Macaca fascicularis: one gene and its partners. The protein of the gene in region 1 purifies or fractionates together with the protein of each later gene. This does not show direct contact. Links are inferred from orthologs where the notes say so. Each region holds a gene or a part of one and is shown in the gene's direction. Other genes may lie near its edges.

Region 1 (3,510 bases):
TATACATGTCAAGAATGCTAAGTATTAATTTTTAGAGAGAGATCTGTAATAAATATTTATTAGTAATATTTCTGTACTTTTTAATGTGAAATTATATTTCTAGAAAATAACTCATCAAGGCCAAGTGCAGTGGCTCACGCCTGTAATCCCAGCAATTTGGGAGGCCAAGGCGGGCAGATTGCCTAAAGTCAGGAGTTCGAGATCAGCCTGGTCAATATGGTGAAACCCCGTCTCTACTAAAAACACAAAAATTAGCTGAGTGTGGTGGCATCCACCTGTAATCCCAGCTACTCGGGAGGCTGAGGCAGGAGAATCACTTGAACCTGGGAGGTTGAGGTTGCAGTGAGCTGAGATCACGCCATTGTACTCCAGCCTAGGCTACAAGAGCAAAACTCCATCTCAAAAAACAAAAACAAAAGCAAAGAAAATACCTCATTAGTAAATGTTAAATGAGTCATGGTAAATTTTGCTCTTAGTATATAAGAAACTGACCTTGACTTTGGGATTCTTCACAGAGGTACCAGATAAAGTCTCATCAAATAAGAAAAGTAAACCTTAAATTCAGATACACATTTAGGTATCTTCCTGGTTTAGATGCAAAGATAATCAAGAATTTTACAGAACCTGCATCATGTAGAAAAGGTTTTCAGTATGGTTCAACTGACAGCAACTTTCAGAAAAATATATGATGAATCACAATATATATTTCCTCCTTTACACTAAAGATTATTTTTATTTACCCTGTATGCTGTTTTAGTTGAATGCCATGTAGCAGACTGTTGGTTAATATCATGGAATGAGGTCTGTTAATGAATGAATACAGTTATTTTCACACACAAAAATCCAATAAAGAAGAAAGAAAAAAGTAATGAATCTTGAGATCTTTAGAAGTCTTAGAAATGTGTGAATTTTCTGGGTCGAAAGAATGCCCCCGTTTAGTTTTGTAAAGTCTGTAATTATAAAACAGCTCTGTTCTACATGACCTCATAGATAATCCTGAGTCCCAGATGCTTTGCAGAGAAGCATCCTTGCCTTTCCTTGAGGCAGTGATCAGGACATAGATGGGGGGAAGGATGTGCCTGGGAGGAAGGTCCCAAGACCACATCTCATCCTGGCATGCCAGTGCCACCCACCTGCCTGTGCTGCAGTTGTTTGTCATTGACTGGGCAAAGCAGGTGACCCACATCTCACTTGCAGGTATTGACTGGGCTCCCAAGAGCGATCGCATCGTCACTTGTGGAGCAGACCGCAATGCCTATGTCTGGAGTCAGAAAGATGGTGTCTGGAAGCCAACCCTGGTGATCCTGAGAATTAATCGCGCAGCTACTTTTGTGAAGTGGTCCCCCCTAGAGAACAAATTTGCTGTGGGAAGTGGAGCACGACTCATTTCTGTTTGTTACTTTGAGTCTGAAAATGACTGGTGAGTGACATCTGAACTTTTTCTATCCCTCTCTATAGAATTTACATTTGCACTGAAAAAACTCTGGTTTTTTCTCATCTGGAGTTGTGTGGTTTTTTTCTCTGAAATTCTTGATGCTGTCTGAGCATTTTCCCTTCTGATGTGCATGTTAAGTTAAATCGCATGTTTTTTATATTAACATAGAGCTATTGTGTCCATGTTCTGTTCTCACTCTATACTGCACATATTGCTGTTTTCTTACTCTCATATACAAATAATAACCTTGAAAGAGTCTCTGTTCCCTGAGGAATTTTTTTTTTCACACGATATCTATGTAGGATTCCTACAGATAACAATGTTCTTTTTTTTTTTTTTTTTTTTTTTTTTGAGACAGAGTCTCACTCTGTTGCCCAGGCCAGATGGAGTGCAGTGGCACGATCTTGGCTCACTGCAACCTCCACCCCTCGTGGTCCAAGCAATTCTCCTGCCTCAGCCTCCCGAGTAGCTGGGATTACAGTCACCTGCCATCACGCCCGGCTAATTTTTGTAGTTTTAGTAGAGATGAGGTTTCACCATCTTGGCCAGGCTGGTCTTGAACTCCTGACCTTGTGATCCACCCCCTTGGCCTCCCAAAGTGCTGGGATTACAGGTGTGAACTACCACGCCCAGCCAGTGTTCTCCTTTCTTTAAAGCTTATTTGCCAAACAACTCTGTGTCTTGATGTAATATTTTACTTGTTTAAACTATTGAAGTGAAAACTCACCAGAATCGTAGAAGTCTAATCAGGCTATTGTACATTTTTTAAATAAATCACTCGTAGCTGACCCAGTCAAAACATAGAGGTTGACTTTATGACCAAAACTTATTTTAACTACTCCTTCCTGTTTATTTTGATAAGAAAACAATTATTCTCCACCCTGGCCAAGATGGCGAAACCCCATCTCTACTAAAAATACAAAAATTAGCCGGGCACAGTGGCAGGCGCCTATAATCCCAACTACTCGGGAGGCTGAGGCAGGAGAATCATTTGAACTCAGGAGGCAGAGGTTTCAGCGAGCCAAGATCATGCCATTGGGCACTCCAGCCTGGGCGACCCAGTGAGACTCCATCTCAAAAAAAAAAAAAAAAAATTGTATTCTACCTGGCGTGTGTTCAGCATGACTGGTAAATATCCTTCAACATAAAGTTGTCATTTAGTACTATACTGGCAGTGTTTGTGTTTCTACTAAAAATAGCAGAGTATACATGACTCTTTGTAGCCGTTTTGTTATTTGTATTCTGCTGAAACTGAAAGGAGGGGATTATCATGTTACCTTTGTAATTTAGTAAAACTTCGGAAATTTTATTCTTCGAAAAGAGATTGGGAACTTGCAGTAAAATTGAGTTATGGGCCGGGCATAGTGGCTTACGCGTGTAACCCCAGCCCTTTGGGAGGCCAAGGTGGGTGGATCACCTGAGGTCAGGAGTTTGAGACCAGCCTGACCAACATGGAGAAATCCCGTCTCTACTAAAAATACAGAAAAATTAGCGGGGTGTGGTGGTGCATGCCTGTAATCCCAGCTACCTGGGAGGCTGAGGCAGGAGAATCTCTTGAACCCAGGAAGCGGAGGTTGTGGTGAGCTGAGATTGTGCCATTGCACTCTAGCCTGGGCATCAAGAGTGAAACTCCGTCTCAAAAAAAAAAAAATTGAGTTATGAATTTGAAACATGTTTTTCTTTCAAATGTGTATAAATCAAGGCCAACAAAATGTTACCTGCTAGAAACGATTTAGAAGTTTCATTGTAATGGGATAGGAAACTAAGTTCATTAATATTCCTTCAAGGCTAAACTTTATGTCAGCTGGTACTCCTTGCAATCTTACAAATTTCTTTTTTTTTTTTTTTTTTTTTTTTTTTTTTTTTTTTTTTTGAGACGGAGTCTCGCTCTGTCGCCCAGGCTGGAGTGCAGTGGCCGGGTCTCAGCTCACTGCAAGCTCCGCCTCCCGGGTTCACGCCATTCTCCTGCCTCAGCCTCCCGAGTGGCTGGGACTACAGGCGCCCGCCACCTCGCCCGGCTAGTTTTTTGTATTTTTAATAGAGACGGGGTTTCACCATGTTAGCCAGGATGGTCT
Region 2 (4,256 bases), on another chromosome or scaffold:
AGGGCTTCTTACCTCCAGGGACAGTCTCAAGCAAGCCAGGCTTCAGTCCCTTACTGACAAAATTGATGGCACAGTTCCTACTCACAGGGCACTTAACTGTGTACCAAGCTAGGCGCAAAGCACTTTATCAGCTTATCTCACTTAATTTCTCACTCAGCACCATGAACAAGGACCGTTGTGATCTCTTTACAGAGAAAGAAACTGAGACTCTGTAAGGGTGGGTATGTGCCTATGCTTCCAAGATGCAATTTGAACCCCGCTATATTGAGTCTGCACCCCTGATCACCATGCTATATTACTATGCATTGCCTTGCCTTTCTGATGCTCTTTCCTTCCCTTCTATTTCTCTTGGGTTCTGCTAAGACTTTGAGTTCCAAGCACCCCATTCTTACCATGTTCTCTGGGACTCTTGGCCTCTTTTCTTATCCTACTCCACCTTTCTCCCTTCTCTAGTCACTAATAGTGGTTTAGAACGTGGGCTGGTAAGCCAGACAGACCCGGGTTCAAGTCCAGGCTTTACCATTCTCTACTTATGTGCCCCTGAACATGTTGTTTAACCTTTTTGAGTCTCAGTTTTTCCATCTGTAAAATGGGAACAAAAGAAGTCTCGGTCTGTTTCCCCATTAAAAGTCTGAATCTGAAAAATGGGGATAACAACGGTACCTACCTCCCTGGGATGTTCTGAGGATTAAGAGATGATGCCCGTCAAGAGCCCAGTTCAGTGTCTGGCACAGAAATGGGACTATTTAATGGCTGGCCCCGCCCGGGGGTCGTCCAAATGTCCCGCCTTCAGAGTCCTCGTTCTCTAGGGACACCCTAGCGCGACCCCCGCCCCCTCTACCTCCTCACTGCGGCCTCCTACGGCCCCAGGGCCGCGGGAGGGGGCGGGGAGTTCCGGTCGACGGGAGCAACCGCCCCGGAACTGGCTATGGGCGGGCCCCTTGCAGTTGACGCGGGGGCGGGGAGTCAGCGAGGGCGAGCCTACTGAAGTTTGCCGGGGGTGGGGAGAAGGTGGGCCTCGAGCAAGCCCGCTAGAGGTGGGGTGCGGGTGGTTGGCCTCAGGCGCGCCCCAGGGCATAGCCCGGGGCGGGAGGCGGGAGGCGGGGCTTGGCGGCGGAGATCTCGGCGCTGCAGTTAGCGCCGCTGAGCCCCAGGAGCTGCGGGTAGGAGGGGCGAGAGAAAGGATGGGGGCACAGAACCGGAAGAAACGAAGGGCTCCTCCGCTTCAGCTTGTCCTAATTTGGTGCCCAATCTGAAGCTGGGCTGTACCATTGCATACCTGGGGGGAGGCTGTGGCAAAGGTAACAAGAAGGCCGAAGGCACAAAGGGGAGCTGCTCCCATTCCTGGAGAAGCTTAAGTAGTGACTCGAGTGCAAGAGTTTAAAGATACCGAGACAGCCCTAGGTGGAAAACTTCCGGAAGGGCCAAGCGTTCGCAAGGGCTCCCTATCCCGCTCAGAGCATAGATGGTACCATCCGGAAGTCCGGGCGGAGACAGAGGCTGCGCTTCTCGCGAAAGGGCAGGCATCGCGGGGCTGGCCACTTCCGTACTTCCGCTTTCCGGCCCAGCCAGCGCCCGCGATGGTGAGAGAGCCGGGCCCCCGGCCAGGGACCCCCAGCTGTTCAGCCTCAGGGCAGTGGGTCGGTGGGAGATGTGGCTTTGCCGCAGGGGCGCGGGGCTGAGGGATGCCCGGGGGTTGTGGGGACACCATGAGGGTGGGAGAAAGAGGGCGGGGGCCCGAGGTGAGGAAGGGGCGAGTAGGGGTACTCCCTGGTTTGAAGCGGGCCTTGCGGCTTCGTGATCAGCCTTCCAAGCAGGTAGGGGCTTTTACTGAGCCCTGGAGGAAGCTGGAAGTGGGGCTTCCTAGGCTCTTTGGAGCGTTTCGAGGGTACGTAGTCGGCCTCTTAGCCCGTCGAAGGGCCGCTGAGGCATGTAGCGGGTCCATCTGCCTGTCCACAGTAGAGCTTCACTAAATACGCCCTTTGTCTTCTGCCTTCCTGACCCTACAGTTGCTTAAGGCAGGCGGCCACACTTCCTTATCCCACTCTTGGTACCTCCAGCCCTGCTTCCACCCCACTGGAGGATCTCTCGTGTTGCTTCCATTCAGGCCCCTCCTGGTCAGAACTGAACTGTGTCAGCCCTAGTGTTTGTTAGCTGTGATACTGCTCATCCCTCCCTTCCTGAAAGTCCTCCCTTTTTCATACATGTGGGTATTCTTGGGAGTTGTGACTTTGGATGACCACCTCCCTCATCGTCACACCTTCCCTGGTGATACCGATCTAGTCTGCTGGCTTCGATGACTTTCTTCACTCTGATGACTCCTAATCTGGCTTCTCAGCTCTCTTTGAAGGTTTGCCTGGGTATCTTGAAGAGACCTTGAAATTACACCTCTAGTTCAAAACTCATCTTCCATTCTAAATTTGCTCTTCCTCCTGAGTTCCCTATCCTGGCAAACTTTGTGAACTCGTATCCCTGCTAGAAATCTGGATTTTTTTTTTCTAATGGAGCACATGCGTCTTGATTTTTAAAAATTTAAGTTTTTTGAGGTATTGTATGAGACTACGTCTGTTTTATTCATGAAAGGACAGGCGTCACGGAGCCAGTCACCTTTTTTAGGTTTACTGTCTATAACTATTGCCAAAGGCCGGGCGCGGTGGCTCGCGCTTGTAATCCCAGCACTTTGGGAGGTCGAGGTGGGCGGATCACGAGGTCAGGCCATCCAGACCATCCTGGCTAACACGGTGAAACCCCTTCTCTACTAAAAATGCAGAAAATTAGCCGGGAGGGTGGTGGTGGACGCCTGTAGTCCCACCTTCTCGGGAGGCAGGGGCAGGGGCAGGAGAACGGCGTGAACCCAGGAGGCAGAGCTTGCGGTGAGCCGAGATCGTGCCACTGCACTCCAGCCTGTCGCTCCAGCGACAGAGCGAGACTCCATCTCAAAAAAAAAAAAGTGTTGACAAAAACTTGCTGGGTATGGTGGCATGCACCTGTAGTACCATCTGCTCAGGAGGCTTAGGCAGGAGGATCACTTGAGCCCAGAAGTTCGAGGCTGTAGTACCCTGTGATCACGCCTGTGAATAGCCACTGCACTGTAGCCTGGACAATATAGCAAGATCCTGTGTCTTAAAAAAAAAAAAGTCAAGTTATGTAACCACTACTACAACCAAAATACAGAATATTTCCATCACCCCAAAAAATTCCCTCGAGCCCTTTTGTAATCACACCTTTCCTCCTTCCCACCCCCGACAACCACTGATTTTTTTAACCCCTATAGTTTTGCCTTTTTCAGATTGTCATGTGAATGGAATGCTTTAGTATGCAGGCTTTTAAATGTACCTTCTTACCATAGTACATGTGAGAGTCAACCATGTTGTGTGTATCAATAGTTACTCTTTTTTATTGCTAAGTAGTATTTAATTGAATGACCGGACCATAGTTCGTTGGAAGTTGTTTTTTTCTTTTTTTTTTTTAAAGACACAGTCTCTCCCTGTCGCCCAGGCTGGAGTGCAGTGGCCAGATCTCGGCTCACTGCAACCTCAGTCTCCTGGGTTCAAGCAGTTCTCCTGCTTCAGCCTCCCAAGTAGCTGAGATTACAGGCACCCGTCGTGGCTAATTTTTTTGTATTTTTAGTAGAGACAGGGTTTTGCCATGTTAGCCAAGCTGGTCTTGAACTGCTGACCTCAGGTGATCCACCCACCTCGGCCTCCCAAAGTGCTGGGATTACAGGCATAAGCCCCTGGGAAGTTGTTTTTCAGTTCCGTTATCCACTCCATCTAATGTCAGTCCAACACTTGTGATACTCTTTGCTGGTGACACAGTCTGCTGTATGTCTCACTTCCCTCTCCAAATCATTCTTCACAGAGCTACCATGCAGCTGCAGTCATGAACTTCCTCCTCAGAAAGCCCCAGTAGTTCCTTACCCCCTTAAGAGAAAAGCTAAACTTGGTCTGGCATTCAAGATTCCCCATGATCTGACCTCAGTCTACCACTGCAGCCTCATTTAGTGAATCTAAAATGCTTCTCATATACAGAAACATTGTACTCATTACTACTCTGGAACTCTTGCTGTCCTTTTGTGTTACTCTAACCTTAATTATTTCTTTTGCTCATTTATTCTACAGGAAATGAGTAAGACACTCTACATGTTACGTACTGAGCTAGGTTGGAGGCTATATAGCTGTGAGTAAAATAAATATGGTCTGTTGACCACGAGGTTTACAGCCTAATAAAGGAGAAATCACTTTACAAAGGCATGA
Region 3 (4,297 bases), on another chromosome or scaffold:
TCTTGGTCCTCCCTGGTTTAGCTTCTAGAGAGTATGGTATGTGCCTGTGGAGAAAAAGTGAAGGACCCAATTCCAGTGCCTTCCCCACTGGACACTAGGGTTTCAAAGATGAATCTGACAATTCCAGTCCTCGAGGATTTCACTGTCTCATAGGCAGGGCTGACATGATTCTTTACACAAATTTACTGAAGTTCTATGGATGCCAGGTACTGGGGATAGAACAGGGACTCAGTGCAGGCAGCGCTTTGCTCACGTGGGGCTGTCATGCTGGGCTGTGAGACTGAACCTCGGAGAGAGGATGGAAAGAACAGAAAGCAGAAAAGAAATGGAGAGTGACTATGGGGCTACTTTGGGCTCTTTGTCAAAAAAGACCTTGCCTAAAAGGTGCTATTTGCCCAGTCACCTGAATGCGAAATCAGATGTGGGAACATGGGGCTCTATTCCAGGCTGCGAACTGGCAGAAGAAATGGCTCTCAGGTAGCAATGAACTTGACTTTTAACGTAAGTTTTCTAGTAATAAATAGGTTAAAAACTCCTGGGCTTTCGGTATGCTCCAAGCATGTAAGTTCTAAGCATTTTACATGTAATTCATTTCATCGTCACAAAATTATGAGGTAAATATTGTTACTACCATTTTCAGGTGAGGAACTGAAGTACAGAGGCAAGTTAACTTGCTCAAAATTATAGAGCTAGTATGTATTGAAGCTGCGATTCAGATTCCAGTGCCCTTCAGTTTCTCTATTTTTAGATGCAGTGCATTGGGTTCATTCATTTACTCAAATACTGATGTTTCCTACATACCATCACTGTTACAGGCGCCAGGGGACAAAACGGGCGAAGTGCTGTCTGGCATTTACAAGGATAGGGAGACAAGCACTAAGAGTAAACTAAATACAAGAATCATAAGAACTAAGGGAAAAAGCGGGAGAGAAGGATAAGGCATGGGGCTGGAGTCGGGTGAATTGAAAACAGAATGACCAGAGGCGGCTTCACAGGAAAGGTGTTTTGTTTGTTTGTTTAAGATAGAGTCACACTCTCACCCAAGCTAGAGTGCAGCGGCACGATCTTGGCTCACCGCAAACTCCGCCTCCCAGGTTCAAGCGATTATTCTGCCTCAGCCTCCCGAGTAGCTGGGATGCTACCACGCCCAGCTAATTTTTGTATTTTTAGTAGAGACGAGATTTCACCATCCAGGCTGATCTCGGACTCCTGACTTCAGGTAATCCACCCGCCTCGGCCTCCCAAAGTGCTGGGATTACAGGCATGAGCCACTATGCCCGGCCCTGAAAAGGTGAAATTTGAAAAAAACACAAAAGAGGTGATTGATCGAAGATTCTGGAACCTCAAGACCCATCTCCATTTTGCGCGCGCCTCACGCTGCGCCACTCTGAGGGCCCCTACCTAGCGCTCTGGCGCCCCCTTTCAGATCCGCGCGGCCGCTGCAACCAGAGGCGGAACTACAAAGCCGGAAGCTCACGTCATCACCCCGCCCCTTCCGTTTCGCTTCCGCCTACCCCGCCCGGGCTGCCAGACCGGAAGCGTTCTGCTCTACCTGGATTCTGCTCCTCTGGGTTGGAACCCGGGTGCTGCCAAGATGCCGGTGAGGGTTCGATCCATGGTGTGGGGAGACAGCGGGGATTGCGAAAAGCGGGGAGAAACCTTGTGTGTGCCGAGAGAAGCGGGCGGCGGAAGGCAGAGAGGAAGCGGGAGCCCGAGAAGGAGTGAGGCGAGGGGAGGGGACCGGTCGCTGAAGAATTGGGACAGCCCGCGGGTGCCAGTCGTGGGAGGCGGGGGCGCGGCAGGAGTGGGCCCGGGGTCCAGGGGTCCAGGGTGTGTGAGGAGGCCCTCTTCTCTCTCTCTCCGTCTACTCCTTCCGGCTCCGGCAGGGTTCCCAAAGCGTCACTACAGCGCGAAGCCAAGGGTTGCCCTTTTTATTTTTCATATTTCAAGTCCAGGGTCTAGCTTCTCCTTTTTCTGTGAGGCCCACTTCCTCCTCCGCCCCGGGGGGCAGGCTCCCTCTGCTGTTTGTCATTTGTCAGAACCCACTTCCCGGCAGCGGCGGCCACCCCGGAGCCACCTGGGTATAGGGCCCTCACAGACTCGGTCGGCGCCTGACTTCCAAAGATTTCCTTTTTCGTGTGCATCAGAGTGGGAGTAAAAATCTATGACGGTCTGGTTGTACTTAATTTCTGACAGGCAGTCTGTGGGCTAGATTTATCACCATCATGGTCTCCATTTTGCAGATTCGGGAAAAGGTGGTTCGGTTATTGTGTGATTGTTCACACTTTTTTTGTTTGTTTTTTGAGAGAGTCTCGTTCTGTGGTCCAGGCTGGAGTGCAGTGAGGCGATCTCGGCTCACTACAACCTCCGCCACCTTGGTTCAAGCAGTCCTCGTGCCTCAGCCTCCTGGGTAGCTGGGATTACAGGCGCGCGCCACCACACCCAGCTAATTTTTTGCATTTTAGTAGGGACGGGGGTTTCACCATGTTGGCTGGGCTGGGCTGGAACTCCAGACCTCAGGTGATCCGCCCCCTCGGCCTCCCAAAGTGTTGGGATTATAGACATGAGCCACCGCGCCCAGCCTGCTCACACATTATTTTTAACAAACGTTACCGAGCACCTACTGCCTGCCAGGCTCTATTTACAGCAGCAAATAAGTTCAACAAATCCCTAATCTTAAACAGTGTACGTTCAAATCGGGAGACGAGACAATAAAAGTGTAAACATAAAGGAGATACATACAGTAGTGTCAGGTAGTGACAAATGCTATAAAGAAGCTAGATGGATGGCCAGGCGCGGTGGCTCACGCCTGTAATCCCAGCACTTTGGGAGGCCTAGGCGGATGGATCACGAGGTCAGGAGTTCAAGACCAGCCTGGCCAACATGGTGAAACTCCATCTCTACTAAAAATAAAAAAATTAGCTGGGCGTAGTGGCGCGTGCCTGTAATCCCAGCTACTTGGGAGGCTGAGGCAGGAGAATCGCTTGAACCCAGGAGGTGGAGGTTGCAGTGAGCCAAGACTGTGCCACTGCACTCCAGCCTGGCCACAGAGTGAGACTCTGACCCCCCCACTCCAAAAAAAAGAAACTAGATAGGTAACAAGACAGTTTGGTGAAAGGGAAGGCAGAGGGTACTTTAGATAAAGTATACTTGTGATGAAAAGGAGCAAGCCATAGTTGCAAATACATATATAGAGAGATATATATAGATAGATAGATTTTTTTTTTTTTTTTTTTTTTGAGACAGGGTTACACCCCGTCTCTGAGACTGCAGTGCAGTGACACAAACTTGGCTCAGGTGATCCTCCCACCTCAGCCTCCTGAGCAGCTGGGACTACAGGTGTACGTCGCCACGCCCAGCTAAGTTTTTCTATTTTCAGTAGAGACAGGGTCTCACCATGTTGCCCAGGCTGGTCTCAAACTTCTGGGCTCAAGCAGTCCTCCTGCCTCGACCTCCCTGAGTGTTGGGATTACAGGCGTGAGCCACCTCATTCAGCCTCACAAATACATATTTTATGAATTCCGTAATTACCATTTGACTCCTGAGCTCTGGGGTACACACTTTATAAATTATCCCATCTAATCCTCATAATGACCCTGTGAAGTAGGTACCATGATTCCTATTTTACAGAAGAGGAAACGGAACCTCAGAGAAGTTAATTTGGACAAAGTTGCCTACTAATGGTAAAACCAGATTTTAAGCCAGGACTCTAGGCTGGGTACAGTGGCTTATGCCTGTAATCCCAACACTTTAGGAGGCCAAGATGGGAGGATCGCTTGAGCCCAGGGGTTTGAGACCAACCTGGGCAACATAATGAGACCCTGCCTCTACAAAAATAAGAATAAATTAACTGGATGTGGTAGTGCATCTCCTCCCAGCCTCTCAAGAGGCTGAGGTGGGAGGATCACCTGGAGCCAGGAGTTTGAGGCTGCAGTGAGCTGTGATCATGCCACTGTACTCCAGCCTGGGTGAGAGGAGACTCTGTCTCCAAAAAAAAAGGACTCTAAAGCCCTGTACTGGCTCCAGTTGCACATAGAGCACCCTGGATTCACCCTGGGTTGGTTGGTTGGTTGGTTGGTTGGTTGGTTTGAGATGGAGTCTCGCTCTGTACCAGGCTGGAGTGCAGTGGTGCGATCTCGGCTCACTGCAACCTCTGCCTCCTGTGTTCAGGTAATTCTCGTGCCTCAGCCTCCCAAGTAGCTGGGAATACAGGCATGTGCTACCACACCCGGCTAATTTTTGTATTTTTAGTAGAGATGGGGTTTCACCATGTTGGTCTGGATGGTCTCTATCTTTT
Region 4 (3,962 bases), on another chromosome or scaffold:
AAGAATATTTTTATTTTAGCTTCACATTAGCAAACTCAGAATGGTTTATTGTTAAGATCAGCCTGGTAGAGAGGAAAGCTATTAACCTTCTAGGGTCCTAAAGTGGAACTAGGAACTGATTAGATACGCAGATTTTCAGGCATTATTTCAGACAGCCCAGTCAGAGAATTCTGGGGGTGTGGCCCAGCAATCTGTTTTAACAAACCTTTCGGGTGATTCTGACACACACTAAAGTTTGAAAGGTTTCTTTAAGGCTTTCCAGTTTTCTTTTCTTTTTTTGGAGGGATGGTGGTGGGGGGGGGGTCTCCCTATGTGCCCAGACTGATCTCGAACTCCTAGCCTCAAGCTATCCTCTCCTCCCACCTCGGCCTTCCAAAGCATTGAAATTACAGGCCTGACCCACTGCGGCCCGCCTCCGTCTTTAACTTAAAAAAAATTTTGTTGGGGGGGGCTAAATCCCTTCTATTATCCCGCTAGTAGAATCTTACTACTCCTGAGGGTAATCTTTGTCATAGTCCAAAAGCCTTGAATAAAGGCTGTTTGTAGTTTTGCAGAATATATTCCTGGGCGGTTTGCCTTCCTCAGGAGCTCAGGCCTTGGGAGGTGGGGGTTGGGGGGCAGGGCTACATTCTGAAGTCCTGTAACAACGCACAAGTACAACTGAATAAAACTCGGAACAAAGGCATCAGGGCCACGGTGCAAGCCTTTGTTCATCCGTTCCCCGACTGCTCACCCTGTGTGATATCTCTCTTTTCCACCCAGAAAAGCAGCCACTCAAGTTTTAAGAATGGATGCATGCCGCGGACGTTTTCGATTAGGCCGTTTTCTCCCAGGCACTGGAGGATATTCGTGGCTGCAGGAGGCGCTTCCACTCTTTCCTCAACCTAGCGGAGAAGTAACTGAAACTAACCCAAGGGCTACCACCGAAAAGCCCCTTCCAGCTTCAGAAGCAGAACTAGAAGCTCGGCTAGACTTCTCCGTCTCTACCCTCCTGGAAAACCCGCTGTGGATTTCACTAACTTCAGGATCGGAGCCCCGGCAGGCGAACGCACCTTATTGCGCATGCTCGCTAGCCCCTCCCGCTCGGAGCGGAAGGGGGAGTGCTCGGGGCCTGGGCCCGGCCTGGCCGGGGCGTCGGCACCGGCGGCCATCTTGGCTTCCCGGGGAAAGGCGGCGTGAGGGGAAGAAGTTGTAGGGTGGGGGCAGGAGTGGGGAGGAGGGAAGAGAGAGGGGGAGGAGGCCGCGGCGGGGCAGGGCGGGGACTGCCTGCCTGCTTGGGTTGCGGAAGTGATAGCCGCTGACCGAGCCTGCTGCTTTCTTGCTACTGCTTCGGCTTCCCGGCTACCCCCCGGACGGTGAAGGCGGCCCGGCTGTGGATGGTCAGATAGCGCCTGTCTCCCGCCGCCAATCTCTGGCCCCTAGCAGCACGGAGCAGACGGCGGCAGCAGCAGCAGCAGGCGAGGAGGAAGATGGCGGGACGGCTGCCGGCCTGTGTGGTGGACTGTGGCACGGGGTAAGGGGGCTTACGGGCGGGGGTGGGGAAACTGAGGCGGAGGAAGGAAAATGGCGGGGGAGGGAGGAGGCCGGGAAATGAATGGTGCGGCGAGGTGCTGCCGCCGGCTGTCAGTCCTAGACTCGCCGGCCAGCGAGGGGTGGGGCCCGGAGCCAGGGCCTCGCCGGTCCCCTCGTTTCTCCCTCCTAGGACTGGGGCGGGGGCGCGGGCCCCAGATTCAACCCCCAACCCTCCCTGCAGCTTCCTCCGCGCGACCCCTCCCGGCCCTTCCCCCACTGCGGTGGGCAGTGCCGCCCAGAGAGTGCTAGGGACGGTCGTCTTAGGGGTGGTCCCCGGGCCCGACCCATCCGGCTTTGCTTTCCCTCCGTGTCCCTTTTTGCCAGTCGGTGTGGGGACCCAGGGGCCGAGCTCGGGGACTGGCCTGGTAGAGGAGCTAGAAAAGAGAAGCGCTCCTGGTAGGTTTTGCAAGATCGCTGTGACAACATTCTGCCCAGGGTGTGGGTGGGGAAAGGGAAGAATCGGACTCTGAAAATGGGAACCTACAGTGGGGTTTTCATTTGACCACCCACCTTCTCCTTTCGACTCCCGGTCATTGCCATCTCCCTCTGCGTTTCAACCGGTGAACCGAGTCACATTTTAATTCGAGGGAGAAAGATGTCATGTGTTACTTCTGTAGCCTCAAAAAAGTCCCCCAGTGAGCAAGCGCGCTGTAACTTCCTTAGTTTTGTCAAAGCCGCTTCCTGCTTTCAGTCTTTTATACCCTTATAAGGTAGTTTTTAGTTTCCAACCTGAACACATCTTATTAGAACTTTTAAAATTAAGCAGATTTTAAAGAGACTGAATTACAGGTGCTTGGTATCCATTTATATGACTTAAAAAATGTGCTTATGTTTCATGGAGAGGGGAGAAAGGAAGCACCCTGGGAAATAAACTAATTTAAGTTGTATTCGTTCATTCTGTAAAGGTATCTTGAAGGAAGCAGAAAGGTATAGAGGTATATAGGAATGTGTTTAAGTTGCAAGTAGTTACTCCTAGATCTGTAGGGTAGTTTGCTAAAATGTAGAATGGCTTAAAAGTGATCTTTCATTTTGTATTAATAGACATTTTAGAGAGTTGTACCACACTCATAACTACATAGAGAATAGACTACTCTTATTTTAATGTAGAATCACTGCTTCACGATGACTTATAGGAAAGGGTTCTTTTTTTCTGTTCTAATTACATCTCTCCAATTCCCAAAACACTCCCAATTTTTTTTTTTTTTTGAGGGGGAAGGCAGTGAGAGGCTTGTTTTTTTATTAATTATAATTATTAATTTCATTATTGTTACTTAAAAGATTGTGTGTCCTTCACTCTTTATGTGAAATTTCTTTAATCTTCATTCTCATAACTAGCTAGTGTGGCAGTTTCTAAAATCCCAATTAGGTAGAGAGAAACAACCAACTTCTTAATATTCTCCCTAGGAAAGCACTAGCCTAGATTAGCCTTGGAACTTCCATGTATTTTATTGATGAACACTTTATTATAAAGTTTTTCATGAACACTTTATTATAAAGTTTTTTCTTAATTGGTTCTCATTTCTCGGAACCAATAGTTTTTTTTATTTCCCCCTTCTTAGTCTAATTGATGAGTAGTTTTATGTCTAAGTTCAGTTTTAAAATTAGATTTGGCCTGAGTCAGTAGGATAGAACTTTTTAAATGTGTTTTGTTAAAGTGACGAATATTGCTACATAATTAATGCTTTAGAAATTACTGAGTTGTCAAAAAAATAGTGTAAATAACTGTGGCCCTAAGAAATAATATGGTAACATCTCAAGTAGTATGTTACTTTTCTAATCTCCATTTTTCCCTCTTTGAAATAGTTTCGAATTAGTATACAAGATGTCTCATTGAGGTCATCTGTCCTTAAGTGACCTCCTTTCCTAAAGGGCAACCTTGAATTTAAAACATGCTGAATGACCAGTAGGATCGGGGAGAGGGGTTCAATTTAACCTAGAGTATTTCTGTTTTAAAATTACAATTATTACAATAGTATATTTTTAAGTTATTACACTGGTTTCTCTGATAAGGAGAGGTTGTTAACTGCACTTTGATGGTTTGAATGGAACTGATTAGGAGTCCCCTTGCCACCTCCCTCTCTTTACCATTTGTCACAATCTGAAATTCCCCCTTTAGAGTTTCAGTTATTTTGGTCCTCAAAAGGCTTTTTGGTCTTGCAGGTTGCCAGTGGTGCCTCCTGGGAAGTTACACTTTCAGCTTTATTAGCACATGGAGGATAAGTCCTTGAGGTCGAGGACCCTGAGATAAGCATCTCTAAGTATGGCCTTAACAGGGAGCTTTTACATTTCAAAATTCTGTGGGCCCCGAATGCAAATTGTGCACCTATAATTTGTCTATTTCTTTATGCTTTAGAGAATGCATTCAGTTCTTAGGTCTCTAAATTACAATT

What was found.
Region 2: the proteins of ARPC1A (region 1) and ARPC4 fractionate together in Homo sapiens (co-fractionation; 7 studies listed by BioGRID and IntAct, with this or other methods). This does not show direct contact. The link is inferred for Macaca fascicularis from reciprocal best matches to the Homo sapiens genes ARPC1A and ARPC4.
Region 3: the proteins of ARPC1A (region 1) and ARPC3 purify together in Homo sapiens (affinity purification with mass spectrometry; 8 studies listed by BioGRID and IntAct, counting the BioPlex papers as one, with this or other methods). This does not show direct contact. The link is inferred for Macaca fascicularis from reciprocal best matches to the Homo sapiens genes ARPC1A and ARPC3.
Region 4: the proteins of ARPC1A (region 1) and ACTR3 purify together in Homo sapiens (affinity purification with mass spectrometry; 7 studies listed by BioGRID and IntAct, counting the BioPlex papers as one, with this or other methods). This does not show direct contact. The link is inferred for Macaca fascicularis from reciprocal best matches to the Homo sapiens genes ARPC1A and ACTR3.

What each region holds. Positions count from the first base shown.
Region 1 is NC_088377.1:47,933,412-47,936,921, forward strand, and holds part of ARPC1A (actin-related protein 2/3 complex subunit 1A), read left to right. Parts: intron 1-1,197; coding exon 1,198-1,420; intron 1,421-3,510. UniProt on the Homo sapiens protein: Probably functions as a component of the Arp2/3 complex which is involved in regulation of actin polymerization and together with an activating nucleation-promoting factor (NPF) mediates the formation of branched actin networks.
Region 2 is NC_088376.1:148,054,159-148,058,414, forward strand, and holds the start of ARPC4 (actin-related protein 2/3 complex subunit 4), read left to right. Parts: upstream 1-1,456; 5' UTR 1,457-1,465; coding exon 1,466-1,633; coding exon of another isoform or gene 1,634-1,640; intron 1,641-4,256. UniProt on the Homo sapiens protein: Actin-binding component of the Arp2/3 complex, a multiprotein complex that mediates actin polymerization upon stimulation by nucleation-promoting factor (NPF).
Region 3 is NC_088385.1:117,322,144-117,326,440, reverse strand, and holds the start of ARPC3 (actin-related protein 2/3 complex subunit 3), read left to right. Parts: upstream 1-1,497; 5' UTR 1,498-1,594; coding exon 1,595-1,600; intron 1,601-4,297. UniProt on the Homo sapiens protein: Component of the Arp2/3 complex, a multiprotein complex that mediates actin polymerization upon stimulation by nucleation-promoting factor (NPF).
Region 4 is NC_088386.1:17,949,143-17,953,104, reverse strand, and holds the start of ACTR3 (actin-related protein 3), read left to right. Parts: upstream 1-1,162; 5' UTR 1,163-1,469; coding exon 1,470-1,513; intron 1,514-2,082; exon of another isoform or gene 2,083-2,206; intron 2,207-3,962. UniProt on the Homo sapiens protein: ATP-binding component of the Arp2/3 complex, a multiprotein complex that mediates actin polymerization upon stimulation by nucleation-promoting factor (NPF).